Ovis aries: one gene and its partner. The protein of the gene in region 1 binds, or shares a complex with, the protein of each later gene. Links are inferred from orthologs where the notes say so. Each region holds a gene or a part of one and is shown on either strand. Other genes may lie near its edges. The genes, in order: IRGQ and GABARAPL2.

Region 1 (7,507 bases):
CTTGGAATCGGCGAAGGTGATGAGGCAGCGGGTGCACTCCAGGGCCCCCAGGTGGCCTGAGGACATGGGGGAGAGGTTGGGAGAGGCCAGCAGGTGTGGCGAGGGCCTCTCCCAGCCCCAGAATCATGCCGACAACCAGCATGCAGGACTTGACGTGCTCTGTGCCAGGTGCTGTGCCAGGCCTGGACGGGAGACTTACTGGACCTATTTTGTGAATGAGCAGACCAGGGCTGCAAAAGCTGAGGCAACTTGCTGACTGTCATGAGGCTGGGAAGTGAAATGGTGGAGTTAGAACTGGAACCCAGGCAGTCTGCCCTTCTGACAGAGCTGTATGATTAGGGCACAGCCTCTGGAGCCAGACTGCCTGGAACTGATTTCCCCTGGCAAGGGAAAACAGTGTTTTCATCTGGAAAATGGGGTAATCATTGTATTAGTATCCACCTCATATGGTTGTTGGAAGGAATAAATGAATGAACTTATAAATAGTGTTTAGAACGGTGCTACACAATGGTTTGCAATAATTATTGTTGAGAAAGAAGAAACCCCACAGCCAGGGGCTGGCCTGGCACAGCTAGGCCTTGGCATTCTCCTGGTGAGCATAAACAATTCCACAGAACGCTGTCAAACAAGGCCGTGCTGTGACTGGGGCAAATCAAGACCACACCATGGTGCTGTTCTGAACACAGACAAAACGTGAACATTGTCTGGGCCATGAGAAATGGCCAGACAGCCCCCTGTCCTGGCTTACGTGAGTGCCTGCTGCTGCTTGGCCAGTCAGAGCTGGAGCGTTCCCTTGTTCCTCCCTCCTCCTAGGTCAGATTTATTAAGTGAGCAGCCATCTAAGAGCCCTTGCTTCCTGGCAACCTCTATCCAGAGCAAAACCCCTTTCTTGAACCCTTCCCCAGTGGTAGGGAAGTCCTTTCTTATGAGATGCCCCACAGTGTGTGTACTTCCTCAGCACAATGAGCAATAAGCCTGATTTGCTCAACTCCACGTGTGTTCCTGGTGGTCTCCGGCTAGAAAGCACTAACACTAGCTTTCACTGTTATAAACACATAACCTCTCTTTGCCTCAGTTCCCTCACTTCATATGACAGTGATAATTATCAATTTCATAGAGTCTGTTAGGAGGACAGACTGAGACAAGTGTTAAAATCTTAGAATGCATCTAACACGTAATTAGCATTCAGTAGAAGCTGTTGCTGTTCTATGTCAAATTGGCTATCTTCATTAATATTAAGCTTTCTCCTTTTCTGCAGCTAATCCTCATACCAGCCAGCCCTGTGAGGTGAGGAGTGGCCACCCCTTTTGACAGGGAAACTGAGGTCCAAGGCGCACTGTAAGTCCAGGGCAGGGTTGGGACTGGGGCTCACTGCCCTTCCCAATCATTTCTCCCACCCCAAGCCTCTCTGGATGCCACTCTTTGCCTCTGAAGTGCATCCCTTTCATATTTATGTGGACAGAGCAGGGAGCTCTGCTCCTTGTTACCTCTGAGGGTAACAAGGGTCGGGGTCCTGAGAGGGCAGCTCATGGACCATTAACAGCTCCTTCCTAACGAGTAAGTCCCCACAATGCTTTGAACACTGAGATGCTATAGAAGTCCTTTTAGCATCACAGCTCCTGCAACCCACCCTCCTCTGGTCAGCAGTACTCACAGAGGTCACCTCTCGGACTTCGGGAACTTCTCTCCTCGGACGAATCCTGCTGCTCCATGGTCTGCTTGGAGTGCCGGTCCTCCATGGTGACTGGGACCCCTCTGGTCAAGAGAGGAGCATGCATGGCAGAATAGTAAATCAAGTGAAGTCGCTTATCTATAGCCAAATTTAGAGGGCCCCCTAATCCTGTGATCTTTGACAAGCTTACTTTGCCCGTCTTTGACTTCCATGAGATAACATCTCTTTGAATTCTAACCTAACAGCTCTCAGTAGAGAATTCAACCTTCCAAAAGATTCAGCTCCTCAGCTCTGTGACTTCTCTTAGCGCCTTCTCACTTGAGTGACCTATGCCTGCTACATCAAACCAATTCCCTGAACACAGAGCTAGGGACCCCTGATCTTTGGACACCAGCCTCATCCCCTTCTCTTCCACCTGTCTTGAGGCAGGTAGTGGTACCCACGCTTTAGCCCGCCTCCTCCCGAGAGACATCTTTCTCTGACATCCCGAAACTCTGAGACCCCGCTTCCCACGCGCGCTTTCAGCCGTTGTGACCCGCTGCCCCCAAGCACTGCCCTCGGCTCCCTCCCGAGGCCAGTAGCCTAGGTTTCTGCTTTTCTCCAAGACAGCAGAGGGGCTGCCTTTCGTTGCGCCTGTCAGTTGCTCGTCACAGCGCCGTCACCCGAAGGGAAACGGGGTAGGGCCCACCGAGTCTCAAAGTCCCGAGGCTTTCCACGGCCTTTCGCCTGATGAGCCTTTCGAAGCCCGGATCTTGGATTGCCATCCGACTGCAATGATGCAGTCCCACCAATTCGGTCCTCAATATAACGCGAGGGGTCCTTCCCTGCACTGGGGTGCGTAATGATGACGTTGTACGCAACTCTCGCCTGACCGACCGGTGCTTACTGCGCAAGCGTGTTAGGCGCTTCTGGCGCGCACGCGCTTTGGCTCCCTCATTGTTCTAGGACCTGCGACCGCTGAGAGCGGGCGAGCGCCCATCCGTCGTTCTGCGCAAGCGCCGCACAGCGCTGTCTTCCCGAGGTTACGCTTTCAAGACACACCTCCTCCTAAAGGGAATGACGTCAGGTTAGAACCCCTGGAAAGCGTCTGGACGTCCCCGAATCCCGGCGCTCTAACCTCTTAGGCCTCCGTCCCCCGACCCCAGAGCGGGGGCTTCTTAGGGGCAGACCACCTGCTACCAACTGCGCCGTCCCTTGTGCTGGTTGTTTGCTCGGTTGGTGATTTGGAAGGGAGGAGTGAGGGGTTAAAAACATCTGTATCCCAGAGGGTGTTGGGAGCTGGAGGCCAATTTCTGAGTTTTTGAAGCGGAAAAGGAAAGCCATCCAGAAGGAGGGCGGACGGGACTCCCGGGTCCCTGGGGAATAGAGGCTGGGCGCCAGATTTCTGGCTGCCTGGGAGTGGTACCCGAGAACGAAAGAAAGGGACAGAATAGTTGGCTGAAATGTGAGACCGGAGTAGGGAGGCTAGAAAATAAGGTTGGGTGCTCCGTGACCCAGGTCTTCCTCTCTCCTTGCTTCCCAGCTATGCCTCCGCCGCGAGGTGACGTGACCGTCTTATTCCTGGGGCCTCCGGGCTCCGGAAAATCTGCGCTGATCGCAGCGCTGTGCGACAGAGATGTGGAGACGGTCGAGATCCCCGACGGACGGCCGGATTCCGGGCTCCCCAGCCTGCGAGCTGCAGGCCCAGGCCTTTTCCTGGGCGAGCTGAGCTGCCCACCCGCAGAGCCGGGACCCTGGGCGGCGGAGGCCAACGTGCTGGTACTGGTGCTGCCAAGCCCCGAGAGCAATGAGGAGCCCTTGGCCCCGGCCCTGGGGGAGGCAGCACGGGCCGCCCTGGCCCGAGGGACCCCGCTGCTGGCTGTGCGGAATCTCCGACCCGAGGAGTCACAGAATGAAGCCCAGGCCCGGGATCAGACCGCGGCCCTGCTGGACAGCGCCGGGTTGGGCGCCGCGGCTCTCTTCGTTCCACGGACCGACTGCCTCAGCACCGACGGCTGCGAGGAGCTGGAGCGCCTGCGAGCGGCGCTGCGGAGCCAGGCCGAGGCACTGCAGAGGTAAGCGCGGAGCTTCTGGGTGGGTGGAAGAGGCCTGGAGCTTTATTTACTCTATACCTCCACCCTAAGGTGCTCTTTGAAGTCATCCCGCAGCAAGTTTGTGACCAACCTTAAAGAGATATCTGCTGAAAGCCCTGCTCCAGATCCTGCCCTTGAGTGCAGGTCGTGAGGTCCGCGAGGCCCCACCTCAAGCTAGCACTCTGTGCTTTTGTCATCTAGGCCCCATCCAAGGGTCGGTCAGCTGGAAGTCCCAGCCTGTCATCCAGCCTGCTCCTGCTAGCACTCTGAGGTCAAAAGTCCCGCTACCCTGCCAGAATTCTAGGAGGGGCCCGGACCTAAAGCCCAAACACTGCCCCCAAGCCAAGGTGTGAAGGAGGGCTTGCTCTCTGCATCCAAACTGGTGATCCTCATGAAATCTGTACCCGAAGACTCCACTCTCCAGTCTTTCCTCCTCACCATCTGCTTGGTTCTCGAGGGATCGCAGTCTCCAGAGAGCCCACCCTCAGTGAGCTTTGTTGTTTAGGGGGCCCTCCCCCATTTCGTTTCTCTAATCCCCTCCCTCTTCTTTCTGTACCCACCTGCTGGCTATCTCCTATCTCCCCCCACCCACCCCCAAGCAGCCTTGCCTCCTTTGGTAGAGGTTGAAAGAGCCTCAGGGAGGGGCAGCAGCTCCAAGCCCACCACCATTCTTTTTTCCTTAGCCCCACGCCCTTGCTAAGAACTATTAAATGAGGCTTCTCCCCTCTTTGGACTTTACACTCCTACTAACGCCTCTGCTCAAGGAAGAGCGCCTGTGTTGACCTTGCCCACCTAGAGCATTTAGTGCAAGGTTTTCATTTAGTCCCTCAATTCATTCCGGATTCTTTTGCCCTAAGGCTCACTGTGAGTTTTGCCCCACCCAGCATGGCCTTTTCTTAATCCTGCAGGTCCTTTGGAAAGCCCAGCTCCCAAAGAGTGTAACCCCTGGGGAGACTTAGCCAGTTCCCCATTTTCAGCTGTGTTGGAAGCCAGATTTCAATCGAGCAGTCCCTCCCTTGCTTTAGGCAATGATGGAGACCTGGGTTCGGTCCTGGAGTCGGAAAATCCCCTGGAGAAGGAAATGGCAACCCACTCCAGTATTCTTGCCTGGAAAATTTCATGGACGAAGGAGCCTGGTAGGCTACAGTCCATGGGGTCGCAAAGAGTCAGACACGACTGAGCCACTTTACTTTCCTTCTTAGCCTCGGTGCCGTTAATCTGGCCCCTCCCTTTCTTGCTTCAAACTCCACCTTGTCATTTTAGCCTGGTCCGACCCCCTAGGCTAGCTCTCCAGCCTCCAGCCCCTCTTCTGCCCTTGACCCTATCCCTCCCTATCCCCGCAGGCTCCTTCCACCAGCTCAGGATGGCTTCGAGGTGTTGGGCGCTGCGGAGTTGGAGGCTGTGCGGGAGGCCTTTGAGACTGGGGGCCTGGAGGCGGCCCTGTCGTGGGTTCGGGCTGGCCTGGAGCGACTGGGCAGCGCACGCCTGGACCTGGCCGTGGCCGGTAGGGCTGACGTGGGCCTTGTGTTGGACGTGCTCCTCGGGTTAGATCCTGAAGATCCGGGTGCAGTGCCTGCTGCAGCGCCTGCAGGGCCCACGCCCTACCCGGCCCCAGAGCGCCCCAACGTGGTGCTCTGGAGCGTGCCTCTGAGCTCCGCGGACACCACCGTCTCCCCGTACCCGACCACCCACTACGACGCTCTCATCCTCGTCACCCCTGGGGCCCCCACTGAGAAGGACTGGGCCCAGGTCCGGCCCTTGGTGCTCCCGGATACACCACTGGTCTGCGTGCGAACAGACGGCGAGGGCGAGGACCCAGAGTCTCTGGAAGAAGAGGAAAAGGCAGAGAAGTCTGGCAGCGAGAGCTTAGAGAACCCAGACGGAGAGGGGTTTGAGACTGCCCACAGTGATGGAAAGGAGAACCGCGGCCCCAGATTGCAAAAGGGAGGCAGTGGGGAAGGTTCAGAGGAAGCAGGCACGGAGAGTTTGCAGCCAGTGGGCGTCAGCGCGAAGAAATCCGGCAGCGGGGACTCAGAGCGCGCAGCTGCCCTGAGCCCCGAGGACGAAACGTGGGAGGTGCTAGAGGAGGCGCCGCCGCCCGTGTTCCCGCTGCGACCGGGCGGGCTCCCGGGGCTATGCGAGTGGCTGCGGCGCGCGCTCCCCGCGGCCCAGGCGGGGGCGCTGCTGCTCGCGCTGCCGCCCGCGTCTCCCCGCGCGGCCCGGACCAAGGCTGCTGCGCTGCGGGCCGGGGCGTGGAGGCCGGCCCTGCTGGCTAGCCTGGCGGCAGCGGCGGCCCCAGTCCCAGGGCTGGGCTGGGCGTGCGACGTGGCGCTCCTGCGGGGTCAGCTAGCGGAGTGGCGACGGGCGCTGGGGCTCGAACCCGCGGCACTGGCCCGACGCGAGCGCGCGCTGGGCCTGGCGCCCGGGGAGCTGGCCAAGCGGACGCGCTTCCCGGGCCCGGTGACGCGAGCCGAAGTGGAAGCGAGGCTGGGCTCGTGGGCGGGCGAGGGCACCGCCGGGGGCGCGGCGCTGGGCGCGCTCTCCTTCCTGTGGCCGGCGGGCGGAGCTGCGGCCACTGGGGGCCTGGGCTACCGAGCGGCGCACGGCGTCCTGCTGCAGGCGCTGGACGAGATGCGCGCGGACGCCGAGGCAGTGCTGGCGCCGCAGGTGCCCGCGCAGTGAGAGCTGGGCTGAGGGCCGGGGCTTCCGGGTGTGCCCAGGGTCCCAGCTGCCTGGCTCTGCCAGGGCCGGAGGACTCAAGACCCGGTGAGAGGGAGAGGGCACGGGGTCCAGACTCTAGCATGGGATGTCTGGGCCTGAAGGATCACAGAGCAAGGGGTCTGCCAGTCAGAATCCTGGGTGCTTGAAGGGAATGAGGGCTCTGACTAGGGCCTCGAGTGGGTGACGTCTGGTCACCAGGATTCCTGGGTCCTGAAGGGAAATAGAGTTCTGGGGACGGGACTCCTGATTTCTCTGGGTACCATCAGACTATGGAACTCCTCAAGGGAGTTGAGGGTTTGGACTCCTCAAAGGCGGCCATCTTGGTCTCTCAAGAGTAGAAACTAGATCCAATAGGTGTCTAGTCCCCCTGGGGAGGAGGAGGTGGAGGCCCTGGTTGCTGATGAAGGCGATCTCCTTCACACTAGGGATTCTGACATGGAGGAGGGGTGGTCTGGGTTCCCCAGGGAGCTGAACTCCTTGGGCTTCTGAGCCACAAAGGGATATAAGATCTAGGTTTCCGGGGGTGAGGGAAGGACGGTTCTCTGGACTCTCAGAACGCCTGACTCCCCAGAGGGCTGAGGTCTTTGCTTTCTAATTCATGGGTTGTGGAAGGTATCCATGTAGAGGAGGGTACCGGGTGCTGTGTGAGGGAGCTGGAGACCCTGTGGTCCCTCTTCGGAACTGGAGGGGTGTGATATTTGCCCCTCCAGAAGCCTGGGGGCACAGATTTCTTTCCCCGCTATTGTGGGGAGGATGGTACCACAAAACACAAGAGGAAGCAAGAGTGTTCTGGGCATGGTTGGGCTGGGGAGTAGCCAGAGACCAGGAATGAGGCTTCCTGACTGTGGAAGGGCAGGAACCCATCCCTCAGAGGGAACTCCCCAGAATCCCTAATAGATTTGGATCCTGGTGGCTGCCCTCCTCTGAGTTTGACTGGAAGGGGATGTGACTGACCCCATTTTCTAGGTGCTGGGCAGTTATGGGGCTCTCTGGGTACTCTGTCCCTCTCTCCCTTAGGGATTTCTATCGTTCTTGGGTCTTG
Region 2 (7,497 bases), about 49 Mb from region 1:
GTTATTTTCATTTTTATACTCACTCTCTTCTGTCAGTTTAGTTCAGTCACTCAGTCATGTCCGACTCTTTGTGACCCCATGGAGTGCAGTACACCAGGCCTCCCTGTCTATCACCAACTCCCGGAGTTTACCCAAACTCTTGTCCGTTGAGTCAGTGATGCCATCCAACTATCTCATCTTCTGTCATACCCTTCTCCTGCCTTCTATCTTTCCCAGCATCAGGGTCTTTTCAAATGAGTCAGCTCTTCACATCAGGTGGCCAGACTATTGGAGTTTCAGCTTCAACACCAGTCCTTCCAATGAACACCCAGGACTGATCTGCTTTAGGATGGACGGGTTGGATCTCCTTGCAGACTGCAGGAGGACTGCAGCCCACCAGGCTCCTCAGTCCATGGGCTTCTCCAGGCAAGAATATTGGAGTGGTTTGCCATTTCCTTCTCCAGAGGATCTTCCCAACCCAGGGATCGAACCCGGTTCTCCTGCATTGGAGGCAGACGCTTTAACCTCTGAGCCACCAGGCTATATTCAAAACCAAACTCTTGATTTGCATACCCCACCCCTCTGGCTCCACCCTGTTCCAGTAAATGACCACTCAATTATTCCAAAACCCTGACTTAGACTTGTTCCTCACGAATCATATTCGATTGATCAGCAAATTTTGTTGGATCTACCTTCAAAATGTATCTAGAACACAGCTGCTTCCCATCACCTCCACAGATACTATCTTGGGTTAAACCAACATCATCTTATACCTGGATTATCACAATAGCCTCTTAACTGTTCCCTTACTTCCATCCTCAACCCCCTATAATCTACTGTCTACACAGAAGCTAGGAAAGTCATATCATGTCACACTTTTGCTTATAACCCTCCACTGCCTTCTCATTCCATTCTAAATAAAATCTAAAGTTCTTCAAATGGAATTCAAAGCTCAACCCACTTTTCTAGATCTCTTTGGTCTCACTTCCTAATGCACACCTTCTTATATATTCAGCTCCAGTCACATGGGACTCCTTCGTATTCCCAGAAATATGTCAACCACTTTATCTAATTAGCATTCACTCCCACCATCATGGTGACTCACTAGTTACCAAGTATGCTTTATTTTTCTAAACAGCACCTATCATTACCCAACATATTTTTTTTCATTTTGTCCCACTAGAATGCAAACTCCGTAAGAGTGGAAGTATTGTCTGTTCTGTTTGCTGCTTTTCACCAACACTTAGAACAGTGCTCTTTCATGCAACAACAAAAATTTCCAGGCATGAAATTCAAAGGATTTTTCATAAAAAACAGTCCGACAATCAGTCACCTCTAACTCCTCTGGCAATTAAGGTTAATGTTAAAATAACAAGAAATACTTCTAGAATGAAGCTATATTCCACAGCATCCATCAGGAATTTCAACTTAGGAAATGATAAATGACAATATTCAAACATACAAGCCTTTCAGATGCATCAGAATCGCAAGCACGTGGCAAGGATCACATGCCCAATTAAGTGAATATCTTCTTACATATTCACCAGCTCATAAACAGAGGGATGAACCAGAGCACACTGCCCTGGTGAGTCTTGGAGGAAGAAAGGAATAGTCACTGGAGAACCTGAAGGCAGGACACACACACACACACACACACACACCCCTTAGGTTGTGATGCTGAATGCCAAAGAAACCCACTTCATGACTGGGTATCAGGGGAATTCTCTGGGTCTGACAGTCAGTCACCTCTAACTCCTCTGGCAATTAAGGTTAAATGGTCTCTTTGTGATCAGTGTGGTGTTACACTCCCCAAATGCATAGTTAATATAACTTTTCTTAAACGTTTATTCATTTATTCGTGAATAAGGGAAGGAGCTGGGATTTGTTTCAAATCCCAATTCCTAGGTCCAACGCAACAATTATGATTGTCCTCAGTACTGAACTCCCGCGTTGTCATCAGTACCCCTCTCCACACAGTCCCCTCAAACCAGTCACATCCCTCAGACTGAGCCCTGAACCTGCAGTCACTCCAAAGAAACCTCCCCAAAGTGTCAAAGCCCTAACTAGACCCCTTGCCGTCACAGGCCACCAGAGCAACCTCTTCTGTCACTGAAACCTACAAAATTGCCCTCTTGTCACCAACGCCCCAGTCAGACTTGTCTATTGAACAGACTCCTGTAAGGACTCTATCCTGTCGGCCGGACCTGCTCACCTCTTCCCTTTACTAACGTCCACCGAGACCCCACGCCTGCTACCAGCTCTCGAATACCCGCTCCGCAGTCATCAGTATCCCTCACAGACCTCCCAGTCGCCCACTCTATTCCCCGCTCCGCCGAGAGCCCCTCTACGCCCCTCTCCTGCCCCGCCCCTTGACGTGAGGCCCCGCCCCTTGACGCGGTGTCCCGCGAGCCGCGCCGGAAGCCCCGCCCCTCCCGGTTGCTAGGCTCCGGCAGCCGGAAGTCCCGCCTGCCGTGTAGTCACCGCCGCTGCCGCCGTCGTTGTTGTTGTGGTTGGTTCGCTGAGCTCCGCGGCTCCGAGAGCCGGCTGCGTCCCTTCTTCGCCGCCGCCATGAAGTGGATGTTCAAGGAGGACCACTCGCTGGGTGAGCGCTCGGCCGCTGGCCCGGCCGTGGGGGCGGGGGCGGCGGGGGCCCCCTCCCCCACTCGGGCCGCCCCAGGCTGGGCCGGGCGGGGCGGGTGCTTCCCTTGGGGCTCGGGCGGCCGAGGTCCTGGCCCCCAGGGCGGTTGCCCACACGCCCCGGGCCGCCCGCTGCGGGCCCTGCTGGAGCCGGGGCCCCGAGGACCGGGCCCGCCCGGACGCTCAAGAAGACCGGGGGCGTGCGCAGGTCCCAGAGGGAGGAGGGCCGGGGTTCTGGGAGCCGGCCGGCGGGCAGGCGCGGCCGTCAGCCCCGTGTGTTTCTTCCTCAGAACACAGATGCGTGGAATCTGCGAAGATCCGAGCGAAATACCCCGACCGGGTTCCGGTGAGTGCATTCCCCGCCCCCTCGCCTCCCTGTCACCCCTGCCGTCTAGGGCCGGTGGTGGGGCCCAGGCTGCTCAACAGTTGACAAGTTTAGACTACAGTCACGGTTGTGGTGGCAGATGGGCCGCACTGGGTAAGGGGCCGTCGAGGGGCGCGACTTGACGGGCTGTAGTGGATGCTGTTCAGGTTGCTTCGGTGCTGAACCTCGCGATCTAGGCCAGCGAGCTGTCTGCAGCCTCTGGGCTCCCTAGCCAATTATGTAAGAAATGATGTTCTAGGACAGGGCGACAGGTCACAACCACTTTAGGGAATGGTGGTGGAGGGAGACGTTCACTTTGATCTTGAAAGTGGTACTTAAGTCTCAGGACATTCATCTTTAACTTTGCGCCTTCCTCTTTACCTGACTTCTGGTTCCCTTTTCTCACCCTGACCCTGTCATCCTTTGCTGACCAAAAAAAAAAAAGTCTGAGCCGCTGCTGATCAATAATGCTTATCCTGTATTTATCCCTTGATGGGGGAAATAATTTCTGTAACCCTTATTTATTTTTGAGGACATCCAGGCCTGTTATTGTAGTTTATTGCTTATGAACAGTTCCTTTGGGGAGAGGCAGGAGGGATAGATTTGAAACTTAGTTCAGAGAGAAGCAACAGGCCAAGTGAAGAGCTTGGTCCTTGGCTGCCTGGAGTTGCCAGTCATCCCCATTGATCTGTCCCTTCTCATTTCCTGTGTTCCTTGGGATCTTAATTCCCCTGTAGTGTGAAGGCAGATACATTCTGGGGCCCTGGAGTAAGAGGCTGTAGAGGAACCCTTCACCAGATATTCTTGAGTCTGCCCAAAGTATTGAAAAACTTTGTAGTGAGAGCTGTGTTTCTCTTATGCATGCTGAGATCAGGGGTGAGAACTGTATTAATAATTGACCACAGAAAAGCACTTGCTGTTGCCTGTAACACATGTATATCAATTCTTAATCTCCAGAGTGTGTGGCGTATTACGCCAGGGGCATGTTTGCTCATGTTATGCCGTTTCCCACCCACCTCCTTGCCCACACACTGTGGATCAGCACTCCAGCAGTGCGCAGCCAGGGCACCGCGTCCGCAGTCCAGTCATGACCGCACTTTGCTTTTGCAGGTGATTGTGGAAAAGGTCTCAGGCTCTCAGATTGTTGACATTGACAAACGGAAGTATCTGGTTCCATCCGACATCACTGTGGCTCAGTTCATGTGGATCATCAGGAAAAGGATCCAGCTTCCTTCTGAAAAGGCAATCTTCCTGTTTGTGGATAAGACAGTCCCACAGTCCAGGTGAGGGGTGTTTACTGGTATTGGACATCTGCTTGGTTGCTTACAGGACTCAAAACTTTGGAAGTCTGAAAACTTTTAGAGATCCTGATTAGAAATCTGAATTTTGTGCTCCCTGACATCAGGAGCTCAAGGAAAACAAGAAAGGGCTGCAATAGATGTGTGTGTACTTTGGGTTAAGAAAACAGAGCAAGGCCTGGACTTTTTTTAAAAAAAAGATGAAATCAGCCTCAGATACCCAAGAATCCTTTTTAATAGTTCGGGACTTACTTAGGCTTAAGCCATCAGTAGAACTGAAGCCTGAAATGAGGTTTTTTTCCAAATGATCCATGAAATAAGTCCTGTCGTTCTTCCCCAGGAGCCTGTGGGCCCTGCTGAAGCTCAGCTTCAGTTAAGCACCCTGCCTGCTCGCTCGCTCTCCAGGCTCAGTCCTGGCCACTGTGAGAGTCCGCTGCCTGAGCCTCAGGTACCCGGAGACGGCTCTTTACAGACTTACACCTCCCTTTGCTCTGTCAGTAGCTGCCCTCTTGTTCTTGCGGTTGTGCTGCCTGGAAGCAGTCTTTGGGATATTTGGGGCCTGAATTGAGGCAGGGGCATTACAGTTCTCTTCAAGGTAGGCGACAGCCTAGCTTTAGTCTCCTGTGGAGAGAGGAGAATTTTCTGGCTCAATCTGTACCCCTGGTCAGTTCTTTTCTGTTACTGATTTGAGTAACAGAGCCAGATGCTGGCTCCCTTCCTCCTGAGTTTCATTTTGTTATCCCCCCAAAAGTAGTACTTCTGATGCTAAGGCTTTAAGAAGCCCTGGGAACTAGCCCAGTGTAGCCAAAATATGCTTCTTTTGAAAATCCTTGAAAACTCCAAGAAAGGCCTAAGCCAAATTCTAGTCCCATTTCCTACGAATGGAATAACTTTGGCTATTTTTAAGGTTTTCTCTTTCCCATTCTCTGACACTTCTGCTTCCTGATGTTTGGCAGAGGATTGCGTGGAAAATCCCATGGACGGAGGAGCCTGGTGGGCTGCAGTCTGTGAGGTCGCTGAGGGTCGAACACGACTGAGGGATTTCACTTTCACGCATTGGAGAAGGAAATGGCAACCCACTCCAGTGTTCTTGCCTGGAGAATCCCAGGGACGGGGGAGCCTGGTGGGCTGCCATCTATGGGGTCGTATAGAGTCGGACATGACTGAAGCGACTTAGCAGCAGCAGTAGCAGCAGGGGCGAATGGAAGGTCTGCCTTCCATTAGGCCAAGGCTCTGCCTGAGGAGAAAGGCCAGGCTCTGCCTAAAGGGCGCCATGGCCTGCTTACAGCTCGAGCTTAGGAAGCTGTGGTGTTGCCAGGGGTCATCTTGTCACCCCGCTGGGCTCTCGGCCTTCCTTCCAGGCCTCTGGGCACTGTGGTGCTGGGTGCATTCTTCTCCAGGGGAGGCTAGGGAAGCCCTGGGCATCTGCGGTCATGTTCCGTTTCCTTGCAGGTGGTGGGGAGGTGGAGGTAAATCAGTCTTCATGCCACCTGCAGCTTGTGCAGCCCCTTGGCGGCCCTGTGTGTTCTCCTTCCCAGAGTTGGCTTCTGGGTGGGAAAAAGTTTGTGAGTAGGACCTGTAGCCTTGAGTTTTGTTTTCCTTGATCCTGATCTTCTGATACTTTTTGAAGAAATGAAGCAGGCTTCTGGAGACATTAAGATTATGTTAATGTAGCAATTACAATGGCTGCAGATTTTAACTAATGCCTCTCCTCCAGTAGAATTGGAAATGAAAAGTGATTCTCAGGGTAGCAGAGGCTGCTTTCTCTCTTAAGTTTTATTTGCTTTTCCAACCTGGTAAGAATCCTCCTTAAAACAGGTTACAGTGGTGACCCAAGGCACACTAACCAGCCCCTCCACCCAGATCCTTCAGCGCCTTTGGCTCCAGTTAATGACTTCCTGGCCCACATTTAAGGCAGCAGTTCTTTGTTTGGGGGTTTTAGTCTTCAAAACAAGTTTGCTTATAAACAAAAGAGGCATGTGACATCCTTGGGCTGATCACCTGATTCCTGCACAGACAAGATTGGCAGTCTCCTCCTAAAGCTACAGTTTTGACTCAGCTTCATCACTTCCTCCCCAAGGCAGTAGGAGCTTCTTCCTTAGCACTTTCCAGCCTCCTTAGGGAAGCGTGGAGCCTCCTTTAACCATTAGCCAGTGTTTGCAGCCTTTGGAGAGTGGCTGGGGAAATCACAGTTGAGAAAGGATGAGCCCTCCCCCATCCCATAACAAGCATATCTACACAAGGATTGCGTATGTCTGAGGCTGAGCAAAAGCAACTTCATTATTCTTGCCTTAGGGTGGGCTTGAGTGTTCCGGGACACAGGCGACCATCCTGTAAAATAGTGTGATTATTGTTTGAGTAGTCAGTGTTAATACTGACTCTAGAAATACAGACAGAAGCAAGTCCATAAGAATTGTACATTGTACATTTTAAATCCTTTCTGAGTTTTTTTTTTTTTTTTTTTTAAGAAAGGGGAGATCTCAACTGCCTTTTCCCATTTAGCATTGGAAAGTTGAATTCTCTGCCTAGGTGCCTGCATCTAGAATCAGGCTGGAAACAAAAGGAAAACCGTGTCTTGGTGCAGACAGGACTTGAGAAAGAATATCATTATTGTATAAGCTTTCCAGTCAAAGCTTTAGTGGGGAACCCAGACCTGGCAGTGGGGCCTACCTTGTGGTCTTTGTTTAGAGCACAGATAAGAGTCTTATTAATCCCTTGTTTAAAATAGAAACTGGGGTATATTATTAAATTAAATAATATCCAATACTTTGGCCACCTCATGTGAAGAGTTGACTCATTGGAAAAGACCCTGATGCTGGGAGGGATTGGGGGCAGGAGGAGAAGGGGACAAGAGAGGGTGAGATGGCTGGATGGCATCACGGACTCGATGCACATGAGTTTGGTTAAACTCCGAGAGTTGGTGATGGACAGGGAGGCCTGGTGTGCTGCAGTTCATGGGGTCGCAAAGAGTCGGGCATGACTGAGCGACTGAACCGAACTGAACTGAAGATGTTGTAATTTGGGAATGTTACGTTGGGAGATCTGTGCTGTTTAGTATTACAGTATTTAATTGTTCCTGGCTCTTTTTTTGTTAGTTCTTTTGTTCCTGGCTCTTAGAAAGGTACTGCGTAAAAGAAGTTATGATGTCTTACAGTTCATTTAAACTTTATTTAGAAATATGCTTCAATTCAACACTTTTGAGCACTTCTGGGTAAATAC

The links.
Region 2: the proteins of IRGQ (region 1) and GABARAPL2 are in contact, whole or in part, in a crystal structure (PDB 8Q6Q), measured with the Homo sapiens proteins. The link is inferred for Ovis aries from reciprocal best matches to the Homo sapiens genes IRGQ and GABARAPL2. Residues at the interface, in NP_001007562.1 of Homo sapiens: Asp7, Thr9, Leu11, Pro47, Leu49, Phe57, Pro70, Trp71, Glu74, Pro181, Ala182, Gln183, Asp184, Gly185, Phe186, Glu187, Val188, Leu189; in NP_009216.1 of Homo sapiens: Ser10, Glu12, His13, Cys15, Val16, Glu17, Ala19, Lys20, Ile21, Ala23, Lys24, Tyr25, Arg28, Pro30, Lys46, Lys48, Tyr49, Leu50, Val51, Pro52, Phe60, Ile63, Arg67, Phe104.

Annotation. Positions count from the first base shown.
Region 1 is NC_056067.1:51,628,717-51,636,223, reverse strand, and holds the start of IRGQ (immunity-related GTPase family Q protein), read left to right. Parts: upstream 1-2,607; 5' UTR 2,608-2,728; coding exon 2,729-2,738; exon of another isoform or gene 2,739-2,886; intron 2,887-3,194; coding exon 3,195-3,726; intron 3,727-5,087; coding exon 5,088-6,426; 3' UTR 6,427-7,507. Other genes in the region: ZNF576 (zinc finger protein 576), read right to left, coding at 1-56, 1,655-1,755, 2,116-2,144. UniProt on the Homo sapiens protein: Autophagy receptor that specifically promotes clearance of misfolded MHC class I molecules by targeting them to the lysosome for degradation.
Region 2 is NC_056067.1:2,350,973-2,358,469, forward strand, and holds the start of GABARAPL2 (gamma-aminobutyric acid receptor-associated protein-like 2), read left to right. Parts: upstream 1-2,450; 5' UTR 2,451-2,547; coding exon 2,548-2,581; intron 2,582-2,906; coding exon 2,907-2,962; intron 2,963-4,090; coding exon 4,091-4,263; intron 4,264-7,497. UniProt on the Homo sapiens protein: Ubiquitin-like modifier involved in intra-Golgi traffic. Modulates intra-Golgi transport through coupling between NSF activity and SNAREs activation. It first stimulates the ATPase activity of NSF which in turn stimulates the association with GOSR1.